Lepisosteus oculatus: one gene and its partner. The protein of the gene in region 1 purifies or fractionates together with the protein of each later gene. This does not show direct contact. Links are inferred from orthologs where the notes say so. Each region holds a gene or a part of one and is shown on either strand. Other genes may lie near its edges. The genes, in order: sec31a and scyl1.

What was found.
Region 2: the proteins of sec31a (region 1) and scyl1 purify together in Homo sapiens (affinity purification with mass spectrometry; 3 studies listed by BioGRID and IntAct, counting the BioPlex papers as one, with this or other methods). This does not show direct contact. The link is inferred for Lepisosteus oculatus from reciprocal best matches to the Homo sapiens genes SEC31A and SCYL1.

Annotation. Positions count from the first base shown.
Region 1 is NC_090698.1:27,495,342-27,503,389, forward strand, and holds the start of sec31a (protein transport protein Sec31A), read right to left. Parts: upstream 3,130-8,048; 5' UTR 2,882-3,129; intron 1-2,881. UniProt on the Homo sapiens protein: Component of the coat protein complex II (COPII) which promotes the formation of transport vesicles from the endoplasmic reticulum (ER).
Region 2 is NC_090713.1:21,128,528-21,136,612, forward strand, and holds the start of scyl1 (N-terminal kinase-like protein), read right to left. Parts: upstream 3,126-8,085; 5' UTR 3,050-3,125; coding exon 2,942-3,049; intron 411-2,941; coding exon 270-410; intron 175-269; coding exon 52-174; intron 1-51. UniProt on the Homo sapiens protein: Regulates COPI-mediated retrograde protein traffic at the interface between the Golgi apparatus and the endoplasmic reticulum. Involved in the maintenance of the Golgi apparatus morphology.

The DNA of each region.
Region 1 (8,048 bases):
ATGCAATGACCAATATGAATATCTTAAGAAAAACTTATCAATAACCATGTTTAAAGTAATGTGTGGTCATCAAAAACGATTTGATTACGGTCCGTGAAGGAGTAAAAACATCACAGAACTTAATTCAGCTAATTTAGTAGGCATGAAATCTGCATTTTCAAGATGTTATTCAAGCATTTTTGGAAGATAAATCTAAAATCTGCAGGAATCTTGTACTCAAGGACTGTCTGCCTCCAAGATACAGGATAACAATGCTTATGCCATCAGTGGTAATTTTAGTTCCGTGGTCCTGTTGGAAAGATATTCCAAAATAAACACTATTTTTTGTGCGAGTGTTTTTCATGTTGCCACCAAAGTCCACAGAAAACTCTGAGGACAAGTTCAGACCTGCAGGTCATCAGGTGGAGCTTTCTAATGATGCACAGGCCCCATTTTATCAACAGACACTACAGCTTACAAAGAAAAATATAATAAATAATAATCTGCTTATTTACATTTAGCTCCCTTTTTTAAAACATAATCAATTTCTAAAAAGTTATTTAATGGAAAATGCAAAAGGAACTTTAGAATGAAGTAGTACAAAAATGGATTTTAGCATTTACAACAGTATTGCATAATAGATTTTTACAAACATTAATAATAACCTGCAAGTTAATTTTCACACAGCAATGCATAGATCATAAAACACAAGAGCCAAGCCATGAATGGGCTTGGAGACATAAATTATAAGTTAAAACGGTAACCCTTCTCGGTTGTAATTCGGGTATTACTGTAATCACAGATGTCAGCAGAAAACAATTAAAATCAGCCTTGATGTTTTTAAATGAGAGACAGTGATGCTGAGAGCAAAACTCAGTAAAGAGCTGTAGTTGCCCAAGGGGCAAAAACAAATCACTAATTAGAGAAATAATTAACTGCACCATTTTTAAACAATTTGACTGAGTTAATTTGAATGTCACAGAAACACATTTTGGACAATGCTGAGGTTTAAAGGAGAAATATTAGAATACATCAGTGACCTTTAACTTTGCCAAAAGCACCTAATGACAAAGTTTTGAAGAAACAGTTAGACCTCATGCTGAGACCTAACAAGTCAAATGACCTGCACAGAAGAAACTAAGGCACTAGATGAGACATCAGCTCCCTATACGAATTCAAGTTAATGAGGTCACATCAGGGTTATCAGGACTCCAGTTCAAATATAGCCTGCCCACTCTGGCTCACATCCACTCGAGAACAAGAAGAGGAGGTCACACAACAGAAAGACCAGCATGTGCAAGTCCTTCCCAACAGGCACAAACCCACAGGTCCAACGTCAGACCTACCCCACTCACCAACATGCCATTAAGTAAAAGAACCTTATAGTGTGTTTGGGAATAATCATTCATTGGCTAAAATGTGGATGCAATACGTACAAAGCATACAGGGGAAAATGGGACCCTCAACCCAGACAATATATGTGCTTTTAAGGCTGATTATACCATATTTTAGCAATGTGACGTAATCAAAAATTGCACAATGAACCTAGTTGGTAGCCTGAAGTCAGTAGTATGATATGTATAGTAGGATGATAACTCTGCCAACCGCAACACTCTTAATTATAAGTAACCCAGAATCACTAACTCTCCTCTCAGATGGCTTTATTTGCAAATCACTGGCTAATGCCATAACTGAGAAGACTTGGCTGGAAACCCAGAACTGCATACGCAGCAGGTCTAATATGGTTTTCGTAAAGGCCAGAGCACAACAATTTATTAAATACGAAATTTTAGGGCAGTTTTGTAAGATTCTCATCCCAACTAGTTCTCACACTTTTAAATTCTTCTCCATTAACTTTTAAGACACATTTTTTCAAACAGGTCATAAGAAAGAACTCTTATGTCATATAAATCTTTAAATCATGTACTACATCTTCTCAGTCCCAGGGAGTTCTAGTTAGGGAAGAGAATTAACATTTATATGATTAAACCTATTGTTAAAACATTGTTTATACTTAAAATTAGCCATTTACAGAGAAAAAGACTCACCACGCCTAAATATTTCACCACAGTGAAATGCAATAATTCTTTTTTAAATGACTTAAATTTAAGTGCGATTAAAATGTAATTATGAATAGGAATTACTATTTGTGAAATTACAAATATTCAAACAAAGACCATAACGAGGTCGAAATTGTATTAAAAAATGTTTTATTCTACACTCTCATTGGCCACAGTCTGTGAACCGTATGCAGCGATACACAAGAGGGCAAAGGCTCAATAGATAACTAGCCACAGCGTTTTGGCACCGAATTGCCGTTTCTGTGGTAAAACATATAAATATGAAAACAACAGTAAGCGATTTCCTTGATCCTTTTAAAAACGCGTTTCTTTTAAAGAGCAACGTTTAATCTGTTAAAAAAATGAAGTTTTACGACTGGTCTAATTCATAGATCTGTGCCAACAAGCACTGTTTTTTTTCCCAGTGATTCGCTGGGGGGGGTAATACTGTAAACACAAATTGTTTTCGTAAAGCAGCACATTAATGCTGAACAGAAAACCACAGCTCCAAAACGCCACTCATGCAAACTTTTACCTTTTTTAGATGAATGAAACGGAAAGACCAAAGTCGACAGGAAACTGCGGGGCAGCATGAAGCTGCGTCCAAAAATACGGTTTTACGTCGCGTAACCGGAGGAATACTTGCAAAGCATACACGTAAAACCGAGAGTGGATTTGTAATATTCACTGGTGCCCGGCGTTGCAGCTGTGAGACCTGAATGCATTGAGGCCTAGGATGCAGATCAACAAATTCAGTGTTCTCCCTGAATGAAGGCTGGTGGTATAGTGGTACCGAGCAGTAATACAAATAAGTGGAATATCTTCCACGAAAGTCCCCTTACCTTCCGTGCACAGTACGTTGATTGCTTAAAATAAAAAAAGTAAATATCAGAAGTCAGCCTGCTCTTGATCCACTTTAAATCGTATATTTCCCCCCTTTATCCTTCAGGTTCCCTTTCCTGGTTGTTACGGGGTTTATTATTTCTGGTCCCGGCTGCAGGTTTACGGCTGCGACTCAACAAAGTCCACGTCCCCATCAACGTGGCAATCCTCTCTCCACCCCTCACACTGAGCACTTCCGGCGAGCGGAGCAGGACGGTGCTCTCGCAGCCGGCGGAGGAGAACGCGGATCTCTCTCCCAGGGTTCAAGACGGTCCTTGCTCGGGGACCGACACATGAAGTTAATAGGTTTGCAACAATCAGAATTGCACAAATAGAAAATGCCTGTATAATTTAATCTTTTTTTCATTCACTTTTTATTTCTAAAATATTATCGCATGGATGCATCTTTTGCGACGCCATTTACTAAAACCTTAATTGTAAAATACCACGTATTTTTTGGTACTTTTCAGAAGGGGAGAAACAAAAAATTAGAAAAACATGGTTTAAATATATATTTGCAATAACTTAATGATTATATTCCAGCAGGAATGTAATGTCACAAAAAATGATCTCACCTTTTCCACGTTGTTCTGTAAAGATGTTTATAATCCATTTATGCATGTCAGAATAAATTAAAGCCTAAAACCCTGGAGATTTTTTCATTTTTCTTCACTCATTTCAATTCTCAAAATTAAATTGGATGTAAAATCATATCAATCTTATGGAAAACGTTCACTCAACAATTAAAGTACATTATTTAAAGATGTTATTTCAATTAATCATGTTTGGTTTACTTTAACAATCCAAATGCTCTGAAGCAGCTCCCAAACATGTTTTCATTACCTTAACAGGAAATCCACTGCAACACGCTATCAAACTATAGTTTTCATGTAATCTTTTGCCTCCACTAGGTCTATGAAAGGGGGCATTGTTTTACAGGTTTGCTGCTGAAGCAGCATTGCTAGGATAACTACTTTTCAATTAATCTGTCTCCCAACTCAGCACAATCTCTTTAAAAAGGTTCTTGGGAGGCTTTAGACAAACTAAACCTATGTAGTTCAAGTGGGTAGCTGCATGACCTGCAAAGGAACATGTAAAGGTTTATTCCATGCTGAAAAAAGGAAAAACATTTCAGCTTGGGACACACCTGAAGAAGGCTCCACAGCAGAAATGTTTCAGCCTGTAATAACCCTCTACTTGTTTCTAAACCTACATTGTTTCAGACCCTTCTAAAAAAAAAAGATGCCCTGTAAATTCCACAGAATATAAACCAATACTGAATGATCTCTTGGTCTACGTGAGGCCAGGTGATCAGCATTTGCTCATGGTTAATTCCAAAATGTGCACACTTGGCTCACATCAAGACATCATTAATGTGGAAAAGACTTGTACCCAGATATCCAGATCCATTTTGATAGCTATAAACGCACAGAACACGTAGTGTTTGGTTACCCAATAAGACATTGGCTTGAGGCAAGAAATTCAAAGAACTGCAGTCATGTTTCATTAAAGATATTTATTTGGCACAAAATTACATTACACTTAAGAATTAAGGCTTCAGAGTAAGCCTGGAATATTACCAGAATTTACAAGAACTTAACTCTTGTGGTAAAATAACTAGTGTGAGAACCAAAAGGCTCCACATATATATATATAAAGCCATATAAGAATTCCTGGATAATGTTTGAAATCTCATTTTTACATTAATGTGACCTTATCTGCAACACCCTAAAATTGATTTCGTCTCTACACACATACTTCTCTGAAAACAGCTTCTAATAAACCAAAACCAGGGCTCTTGTTTTACATGGTTGTTGAAATGTCTGCAACACAAGTTTATGGCCGATGGGTTGAGGACTGGTTGGCTTGTTCCCTATGCCATGTTGAAGCCGATATTCCGGCTTCCATGAAAAAAAGGGCTTGGATGTGAGAAGCCTATTGTTTTTTCATGGTTAATTGGTCAAGATGGCCCCCCACATTTGCAAATGAGAGGATTCCCCACAAGATCAGAAGCAGCTGGTCTTCAAACCAGGCAAAAGCAGGTCTAGAGCATTCGTGTAGACTCCTCTGTAATCCCCAGGAACACTGCAAAGATAAGAATGTCAAGATCACCAACACATTCAACGGACTTCATTGCCTCCCATTAGGAATTGATATTTTAGTTCTGCGAGATGTAGACTGAAGACTCCTTCCATTTCCACACAAGGCTATGGACACACTTGTAAGATTGTTGGCTCGTCCCTGATCCCCCCCCCTGCACTGCCAGATTGACCTCATGGTCACCAGCAAGACACCATCTGTGGAAGGCTTCCTTCACTGGGCTCAACATGAAAACCCGGCTGAGAGATTTTCCAACTATTAGGCGTGTGCATGAAGGATAATAGTTAAAATTCCAGTTCCTCAATGCACTGTAATGCAGTCCTACAGTCCCGAGACAACACTGTGAATATGAATCCCAAAATACATGACAAATAAATGGGTTTCTTTGAAGATGCTGCTTGATAGAATGCCAGGAGGCCACAAGATGCAATAGCAAATACTGCCATCAGTTAGCATTTGTGGCCTCGCTTAGTGTACACTTAGCATTTGGTAGAAGCCAGGTCCTTTGTGTCCTTTTACGGTGTACTGCAAGACACCCACAGTAATAGAGCCTAGCACATGGGTATATAAGCACCACTGGCCAGTCCTCTCAATGGCAAGTTTCTTAAACCACTTATAGATCTCAAACTAACCCATCTTTCCATTTTACAAGATATGTACTTAAAAATGAAATTAGATGACCGCTATGTGGCCCTTCTGCACCAAGATCTGGCCACTACAGCCAAAAACATTTGCTACATTTTAAAATAAACATTTTTCTCCAGAGGCCTTTATGACGCAATGACTAATCGGGGCCTCCACGACAAAGGATTTCCAGCAGCTGACTGCACCCTCATATACAAGTTTTAATCCTCCCCCCAGAGGAGGGTCAGATGGGTAGTGATTGATTATAATCACTGGGCCAGTCAGATTGGCTGTGATGTGTACAGTGACTCCATGGCTCACCTGCCGAGTGGAGATAATGGTACCAGACAGTGCAGCCCCACAGTCCCTTTAACCTCAGTAGGGTGAAGTGCTCCTGTTCTGAAGGAAGAGAAACAAGAAGAAAAACTAATAAGAATCACAGCTTATTAAAAATCATGGCAAAAAATTGTGTTCAGCAGTTCTGTGATATTTTAAAGGAAACCAAAGCCTAAATCTGAGCTGTCTATTTAATCGAGCTGAGATTTGTTTTAACAAGCTGCACAATTGAAACCTTTATTAATTTTCTCAACTCGGATACGGGAGAGCTCGGGTAAAACAGTGCTGGTGCTCTGTACCCTAAAAAAACGATTTCATTCTAATCGTACTCCCTCATCTGAGCCACACGATTGACTCCGCCATTTCCTGCACTTAGGATTTAGTAACGGGAGACTTGTGTTGAATTTACAAGAAACGGATGCTGCCCTACATCCTTCTTAACTACTGTTAAAGAAGTTCAGACAAGTTAGACTGACACTAGCACTCAATTCCTTTGTGTTCTGTTCGGCGTGAGGTTTGTGGGACATTACACGTGCGTGAAGGAATATACCGCGCTTCATTGTTAAAAAAGGCGCTCGTAAATTACCTTGCAAACTTCAATTACACTCCATCTCCAAAAGGATCAAGACCTTTCAATGGGCAACGAAGGAATCTGGAAGGGAAACAAAAGATGTTTAGAGCTCATCGTTGGTGTTGGGGGAGGAGCGCCAACTTCAAATAAAACGTGGCTTGGAAACTATAACAATTTACCAGAACAATGGAACACAGAATGAACTCTTACAGACAAGATCCTTCACCAAGTGGAATCGGTTAATAAGAACGACAACTAAGTCAGGCCAGATTTTCGTGTCGCCTAAATAGGCGCGGTAAGAAACCGAAGTCAGCCCGTGTCCTCATATAACTAGATAAATCGTAATCACAATGCTTCATGATGTGAACAGCAGAAAAGAGTTTAAAATCATCGGACACAGGCGACATTGGGTATCATCGTAATCATTATTGCGCTAATTAAGTACATAACCAGAGGAAAGGGTGCAAACATATTGCTCAGATAACTATAATTTTGCCGACCCCTACCGCAACCCGACTTGCTGTAACTTACTCCGTGCTCCCTTCTCCTCCACGCGTCTTCTTTTTTGTCTCACATCGTTGAAATAATCTTTTGTGCATACGCCAGCATTGCACAGCACACCACATGTGCCACCCCTAGGATCAGCTTTCCACATCGTCTTCTACTTTGTTCCTCTCACCCCAGCATCAAAAAGGAGCTAACGCTCACAATTTAGGGGTTTTATATGAGCTCCGCGGGGCAGTATGGGTAGGTCGTAAAAAGACGCCAATGACGTAAAGAAAATGTGGACAATACGCGTGGTTGCTTGGGAGTTTTCTACTTCCGGTCTGGAAATACAGTTTAGCGATGATGCAGGTGTTCAACCTGTTGAAATATACGGAAGTGTCTCCCCCCCCCACAATATATTTAACCTGCTTGTTTAAACAATAGTGGTCACACATAATGTTTGAACTTCACACAACTGGTAAAGAGATTTGTATTACCCGAGAGTGCATTAAATTGTACAATCGTCGAGAAGGTAAAGCATGTTTTGAAAAAGGGTGTTAATTCTTTTTTTACTAGTTGCTTTATTGTCAAGTGACGACAGTGAGATATGGAGAAGATTACTAGTCAGTAGGTTATTGGCAACGAGCTTGTAATAATACGGAATAGACTTGTTAAAGAGTTAAACTAAATTACACACAAATTGCAAAGTCTGGATCTGCAACAATCCAAGGAGCTTGAGAGCCGCAAACAAGCTCACAAAAATGTAAGATATATAATACAACTCCCCTTTAAAATAGCCTCTTTCTGGGCTGTTCTGGGTTTGGTAATTGCCAAACGACAATAAATCCGGTGTCATAAACATACCTTCTTATGTATTCATAACATATTCATCATTCAGAAGAGTATTCATACATATTCAAGAAATATAACATCATACAGCAGAGTTACGGACTGGACTGTGTGTCTTGCTTAAAACGTAGTGTTGTCCTGTGCTCTTAACAGTATTGCAG
Region 2 (8,085 bases), on another chromosome or scaffold:
CCCCCATCCGTCCATCCTCTCTAACATCCCCCCCCCCCCCCCCTCACTCACCACGACCTGGTGGAGCCCCCAGGAGACCTCCAGCTCTCTGGCGCCCCCTGCCTCCGCCTGGGCCTTGAGGTGGACAGCCAGGGGCGTCACCGGCTCCGTCACCACGTACAGGCACCTCTCCGTCTGCGGGCACAGGGCGAGAGGGCGTCAGGGCACCGCGGGGCGCCGCGGGGACGGGGGGGTAGGGGGCGCCCCGAGCCCCGAGCCCCGGCCCTTACCTCCAGGCCGTCCACGAAGGCCAGGATGTTCGGGTGGCGGAGGGTCTTCGTCCTCTTAAAGGCCGCCTTCGCCAGCGCCGTCTGCTCGTCCGAACCCGACTTCACCTCGAAGGCGAACACCGAGACCAGCTCGCCCGTCGCCTGTGCGGGGGAGACACAGAGACGGGTTGGGGTGGAGGGGGGGAGGGGTCACAGCCGCATCGCCTGAGCTGAGCCCCAGCCTGCTCCGAACGGCACAGTGAGCACGATTCGCCCACCCAGGCATTTTCGAACCCCTGTATGCAGTTGAGGGCTGTGGGGGAGCTGGAGTCTATCCCAGCAAGCAACAGGCGCAAGGCGGGGTACGCCCTGGACGGGACGCCAGTCCGTCACGGGACACCCACACACTCCCACCCCAGGGTCCGTTTTCCCCAGAAGTCTTTGGAAATCGGAGCACCCAGAAGAAACCCATGTGAATACGTGAGGGGCATGCAAACTCCACACAGACAGCACCCCAGGGTCCGCAAGCGAGCCCAGGGCTGTGCCCGTGCCGCCCAGCCTGACTCACAATCAGTGTGAACCACCGGAATGACCTCCACTGAGCTGGGCTGGAAAACCTGGAGCGGATCAGTCTGCTGTGCACTGGGAGAGTCTAACTGACGGCTCCGTAAAACCTGGAGCGGATCAGTCTGCTGTGCACTGGGAGAGTCTAACTGACAGCTCTGTAAAACCTGGAGCGGATCAGTCTGCTGTGCACTGGGAGAGTCTAACTGACGGCTCCGTAAAACCTGGAGCAGATCAGACTGCTGTGCACTGGGAGAGTCTAACTGACAGCTCTGTAAAACCTGGAGCAGATCAGACTGCTGTGCACTGAGAGAGTCTAACTGACGGCTCCGTAAAACCTGGAGCGGATCAGTCTGCTGTGCACTGGGAGAGTCTAACTGACAGCACTGTAAAAGATGGAGCAGATCAGACTGCTGTGCACTGGGAGAGTCTAACTGACGGCTCTCTAAAACCTGGAGCAGATCAGACTGCTGTGCACTGGGAGAGTCTAACTGACAGCTCTGTAAAACCTGGAGCAGATCAGACTGCTGTGCACTGAGAGAGTCTAACTGACAGCTCTGTAAAACCTGGAGCGGATCAGTCTGCTGTGCACTGGGAGAGTCTAACTGACAGCACTGTAAAAGATGGAGCGGATCAGTCTGCTGTGCACTGGGAGAGTCTAACTGACAGCACTGTAAAAGATGGAGCGGATCAGTCTGCTGTGCACTGGGAGAGTCTAACTGACAGCACTGTAAAAGATGGAGCGGATCAGTCTGCTGTGCACTGGGAGAGTCTAACTGACAGCACTGTAAAACCTGGAGCAGATCAGACTGCTGTGCACTGAGAGAGTCTAACTGACAGCTCTGTAAAACCTGGAGCGGATCAGACTGCTGTGCACTGAGAGAGTCTAACTGACAGCACTGTAAAACCTGGAGCGGATCAGACTGCTGTGCACTGAGAGAGTCTAACTGACAGCTCTGTAAAACCTGGAGCGGATCAGACTGCTGTGCACTGAGAGAGTCTAACTGACAGCACTGTAAAACCTGGAGCGGATCAGTCTGCTGTGCAGTAGGGGCTCTGATGGACAGCACTGTAAAAGATGGAGCGGATCAGACTGCTGTGCACTGGGAGAGTCTAACTGACAGCTCTGTAAAACCTGGAGCAGATCAGTCTGCTGTGTAATGGGAGAGTCTAACTGACAGCTCTGTAAATCCTGGAGCGGATCAGACTGCTGTGCAGCGGGGGCTCTGATGGACAGCACTGTAAAAGATGGAGCGGATCAGACTGCTGTGTAATGGGAGCATACCCGGCCACACTAAAACCTTGCCTGATGGTGCTGTAAAACCTGGAGCTCTTCAATGAATTGGGATCCAACCTCTGTACACAAGGCCCGCCGCTAAACGGACTTTCCGGGAACGATGATCTAAACACCGGCTGCTATCGGGCCCAGGGGGAACAGGCTGCGCTCCAGAAAGCGTGGTGTTGGCAAGTCACCTCAGGAGGAGGAAAAGAAAAAAAGAATTCTGCCCTCCTCATCTGCAGCGACAGCTCCGCACTCAGTGGGATTCAACGCCGGTCAAGGTCCAGCGGGACCCCAGCACTTGAAATAAACGAGGGGGGAAACCGCTGGACCGGGGTGGGGGGGGGGTGATGCGGAGGAGGGGTCCGTCCTGCCTGGAGAGAAATTAACAGCACGCCAGTCCAGCTGTGCTTCCCCTGCCTATATAAAAGGCTCAGGTCTCCCCCCCCCCCCACACGACACAGGATTTTGCCAATTAACACGTCAAGGGAGATGAGAGTTTAAACAAGCGTCTCACTCAAGTCCTCTACACCCAGCGACGTGGCGACAACAGACGTGTTTATACCGGATAGGGGAGCGGACAAAGGCGGACATTCAGGTGATTATTTTTAAAAGTCATTGACAGTTCGTGCGAATAGGCATTTTGGCCCCCCCTTTTTGTTTTTTTGCCCCGTCTCCCTAAACCTACCTGCAAAATTTCCCCCCACAACCATACAAGCCCCCCCCGTCCTCCCCGCACCGCCAACTCGGCCGCAGCCGCTACTCGAGCCCGGGGCGTCGGCAAATCCTAGGCCTCGATCCCCCGCCGCCGCCTCTCCGTTCACCGTTTCAGATCAAACCCGGGCCTTACCTTCCGTTTCCCCCGGTGCAGAGTCCATATTCCGGACGGCTCCTGGGTGTCCGGTAAGATTTCGTACTGAAAATCTTTAACTGGATCCCGGGCGAAGAAGGACCACATCCCACCTTTGCTACCGACATCAAAACACGGAATGAACTGCGGGCTCGTCTGCAGCGCTGCCGTGCAGTACCGCAGCGCCACCGCTAGAGGGGGGGAGGCTAAGCCTGCGTGTTATATTACTGTCCGGCCGCTAGGTGGAGACACGCCCGCAGGATGTCGGCCTCGCACGGGTTTTAATTTTTTTTAATTTTATTTTTTTTAATTAAACGTATAAAGAATTTACAAATACAACTACAACCCGAGGCTCAAAAACAGGTACAAGAGGAAAAAACACGAACAGGAAAAAAAAAACCTGAGGTAATGAAGTAAATTATGTGATTAAATTGTATTTTTTTTTTACATATATCATCCGTTTTCCTTACTTTGTCAATTTTTTTAAATAGAATTTAAATAGTTGAAGTGGAGCTGAAAAAGACCTACAAAGGGGAGGATTATTAGACCCTTTTGATTTATGGATGTGAAATTTACCCAGAATGACTAATGAATTGACTATAAAAAAAATGCTCTTTTTCCAAATGTTCTATTAAACAGTACAATAAAATATCAAAATCCTTCAAGCTAAAAAACACCTTTAACTGCCTGCCAACACACCTCCGCAAACCGACACCTCACAAATAACTGCACCAAAGACTCCCCTTCAGCTCGACAAAAAACACACAGATCACCCTGCTCAGGCTTTAGAGCGATTTAGAGAGCACTAATTGAACTGGATAAAACTTATGAACAACTTTCAACGATATCTCTTTAACTTTGTTTGTAACACACTCTCTATCAGGAGTTGTCCAAACTAACTCCTAAGTTTATATTTTCAAACATTGCATTCCAAAAAGATAAACAAATAGGGATATGATAATAATAATAATAATAATAAAATAATAATAATAATAATTGCTTACACTTATATAGTGCTTTTCTGGACACTCCACTCAAAGCGCTTTACAGGTAATGGGGATCCCCTCCACCCCCAGCAGTGTGTACCCCCACCTGGATGATGGGGGTCTACACAGAGATTCCTTCTGTGAGTATTGTTACATTTCTTATCCTTTATTTCCACGCCATCCCAGAATAAATCAGTTGTAGGACCCAAAAGGAGGTCAGTCCTATTAACACTTTGATTTGCTTTTAACAAGCTCACTACACCTTCCGGAATGGTATCAAAAACTATCGCATATTTCTTAGGGGGGGGTGACAGGGAACTGAAATCTCTCCAGGAATTCAGGATAAGTAAACAATCTGCCGTCTTTATTCAACAGTTGAGCCACCAAAAGAGGAGAAACGTGTCGTTGCCGTCTCTGTCCAGGAGAGGGCGACCAGACGCCATCAGAAAGCAGAAGGCCGTCCGACTGTTGTGATGATATCCCTGCTCCTCAGCGAATTTAATTATTTAACCCTCGCCCTGTTCTCCCGCACAGGGTCTCAATGGGACAAGGGCAGACGAAGAGGTCAGCCCCCATAGTGCAGTGTACGAGAAAAGGGGGCTCATTATTCTGGACTTGGGGGTCCCCCCCAACACTGGCTGCCCTTCAGCCCGGCTGAGTCCTTTACTGAACTGTTCTCTGATTCTCAGAAAGTTGCGTCTGTCGCTTTTGAACCAGTGAGCTGAGCCCCTTGGAACCAAGACAACAGGGGTCTTATTAACACTCTTGATGGGGACAGCTGATGTCAAGTTATTAAAATCGCCATTTTTCCCCAAGTTTGATCGGCTTAAGTGCTGCTCGGGGGAAACGAACACATCACAAACACGGGGTCCCCCAAATCACAGTTCATGTGACCCCGGTTATCCGTCGACTTCCAAACCCGATCTACAGCTCCTCAGATGGGAGGCTTAAAATGAAGAGACGGAGTTCTCCAAGTTCAGCAGGATAGCGGTTGGTAAATTTAACAAGCAACAGGTCTAATTAGTCCATTATTAGGTGACAGAATGAAGACTTCAGTGGGGGAACACAGACTGGGGGGGTCACAAGAACCGGAGGCAGACAGGAGTCCCGCCTCTCACGCCCTGAGGAATATTCTGGCACTAAACGGACCCGAGCTGAAGGTGTGAACCAGTGAGGGGTACCACGTGCAGTACCCTGGTTTAGGGGCAGCCCCCAGTACCCAAAGGTTCCAACCGGCACCCAGCGAGAAACCCCCCCGAGTCTCGATTAGGTATGGCCATGCATCTTACACGCAGGTGGATCAGAGCAAACAGACCAGGAGGAATGAAAAGTCACAAAGACTTCAGAAAACACACCCTTTCGCATTAAAGAAATCTACTCCAAAGGAGCAAACCGGATTTCTCCCCTTGTGTCGTTGAAGATGAGCTGGTTGTAGATTGGGCTGGCTTTCGTGGTGGTAAAATGTGGAATGCGGGGGTTGCTGGTTAGTGGCGATCAATGCATCACTGCTACCAAAATGACAAGTTTATCTTTTACACGTTGCAATACAATACTTCAAGAGGAACCCTGCAGAGGAGTCGAGACTGATGGGGTTAGTGGGACTCTGCAGATACTGGGTTCACAGATTCAAACTGCTTTATTGGTAAAAAGTGTTGCCAAAGCACAGTCACTACAGCATCTACTTACATTTACAATACAAATGCATCATTGGCATTAACACACACCACAGAACATTAAACCGGCTCCCTGTCTGTTCCTCAGGCTGGGACAGGAGATCACACACTATTATTATTATTGAGAGACAGGCTCACTGTCTGTTCCTCAGGCTGGGACAGGAGATCACACACTGTATTATTATTATTGAGAGACGGGCTCACTGTCTGTTCCTCAGGCTGGGACAGGAGATCACACACTGTATTATTATTATTGAGAGACAGGCTCACTGTCTGTTCCTCAGGCTGGGACAGGAGATCACACACTATTATTGAGAGACGGGCTCACTGTCTATTCCTCAGGCTGGGACAGATCATGTACTGTTCAGTCAGCTCAATAGTTATTTTGTGCAAGCATGTTATTCCAAACCCAGAATACTTGTCACAGTGCATCCGTCTCCATTTCTCCCACAGGGGAGAGGGAGCACAGCCCATCCTCAGCTGAGGAAAAGGCAAGACGTGCTGCCCGCCCAGCAGCGACTTCAGTACTCGCCGAGGGCGTTTCAAGGGCACACTCCTAACTGGTCTCGGACAAGCTCGAGTCCAACAGACACCCCCCCAAGTCACGTGGGCCACACTAAAAAAAAAAACACTCCACAAAAGTGCACACCAAAGCAGGCGAGCAGCTCAAGAGCAGACGGCGAATCCGCAGGTCCAGGATGGCAGGCGTCTTCTGCAACAGCACCGTGTCGACTGAAACGGGCCGAGTTCATGTGCTCAAACAGGGGATCGTGAATTATGAACCGCTCCCGGGGCGCAACTAGTGTCGATTGGGTTAGCAAGTTCCACATCAAGCACGCAGTAGTAAACGCCGGAGTTCTGTCTGGTTTATAGTGCAGTAGTACAAATGAAACCAGATCCTGAGAAATCCTGGAGTTGTGATCTCACCCCCCGCCCCGAGAGGAATGGAGGTATTTGGGCTAGGTTTGACCTAGTTTCATACACACCTCTATTCCCCACTGGTGGTCAACCCATACAGGCTGGGATTGGACCGTTACTCCTATGAAATTCAATTTAAACCGGGATACAGATCATCCCATTCAAAGCAAGGACCCCTCAGGGAGTCGGACCCCACCCTGGAGACCAGGAGTGCCACCACTGGAGTCTTTTGCTTTTTAAAAAAAAAAGCCAATCAAAAGGGAGAAAAGCAAAACCTGGGGGAACAGAGACGCAGGGTTTTTGTTCCCCCAGGGAAAGAGAAAAACCCTCCATTGAGACTCGATCACTGCAGCTTTACACAAGGGGGAGAACGACCCTCGGCCCGGAGGACCCTCTCTGGCACAGAGACCAACAGGCCGAGAGCTGAAGCGTCTTGGCGCAGCAGAGACACCGCGGGGAGTCGAACCCCGTCCCGGAGACCGGGAGCCCCACGACCGGCGCCTTTTGCTTTTTTTGCGTTCGTTAAAAGGAGAAAAAGCAAAACCTGGAGGAACAAGAGCTTGTTCCCCCAGGAAAAGAAAAACCCTTGGATAAAGCTGCTTCGCCTACGGTCCCTGCGTACCTCGCACGGAGCCTGCAACAACTACAGAGAAGGGTTGCCGTCCCCCATTCCCCACCGAACCCCCGAAATGTATTTGAAAAAATCGAAACGAAAAAGCGAAGGACTGTCTTACGACTGGAGAGGCCAACGGGTCTTCCGACCGCCGTTTTCGTGTTTCTTTTTCTTAAAGAGAGACAGAACAAGCACCCACAGAGAACATCAGCGCCGCACGCGCGTGCGCACCAGAGCGAACTGCATGGTTTACCAGGAGAACCCGTTGCTGCACGGGTCTGTGCGTCTTGGTCAAACACTTTAAGGGGGTTGGTATGTTGCTGGGTGACCTCTCAAAACGTAGAGCTGTTGGGAAAAAAAACTAAAGAACCACTTTATAGCCCCCCCACCCCATCCATTAGAACCTCAAAACTGCTTCGCCGATTTGATCTCAGCTTACTGTACTGCCAAGTCGAGTTTATTTAATGCACTTCTAATCTGAAATTATCTTATGTGTGCAGGATATCCCCACTTAACTCTGGAGCCTCAAAACTAGCTCTAATGTATTCCTACTAAACTACTTAAAATGCCCTATTTTAATGGAAGACATTCGACCAGGTAGTACACCCAGGTCTAGCCCTAGGGGCATTTGAGGCTCTGAAAGGTCTGTGTAATATCAGTTTTGGTGTTGGATTAACTTACTCTCCAAAGCCTTGTCCTCAAGCTTAAGTAGGAGCCAGGAAAAGTCATCGAACTGAAGAGTAAACATCTGAAAAGCAACCCGAACACCCCTCCCCAAAAGCACGTGCTGCTCCAGTGGCCGTTTTCCAAGTTAGGAGTCGCTTATGCCAGTAAGTCAAGATTTTCCATCCGGGGGGGAGGTTTGACCTGTTAAAGTGACTGAGAAACAGGAGAGAAGAGCCGGGCCCCTCTACGCTGGCGGAGCCAGATTCACTGGTGCCTCACTGCTGGGCA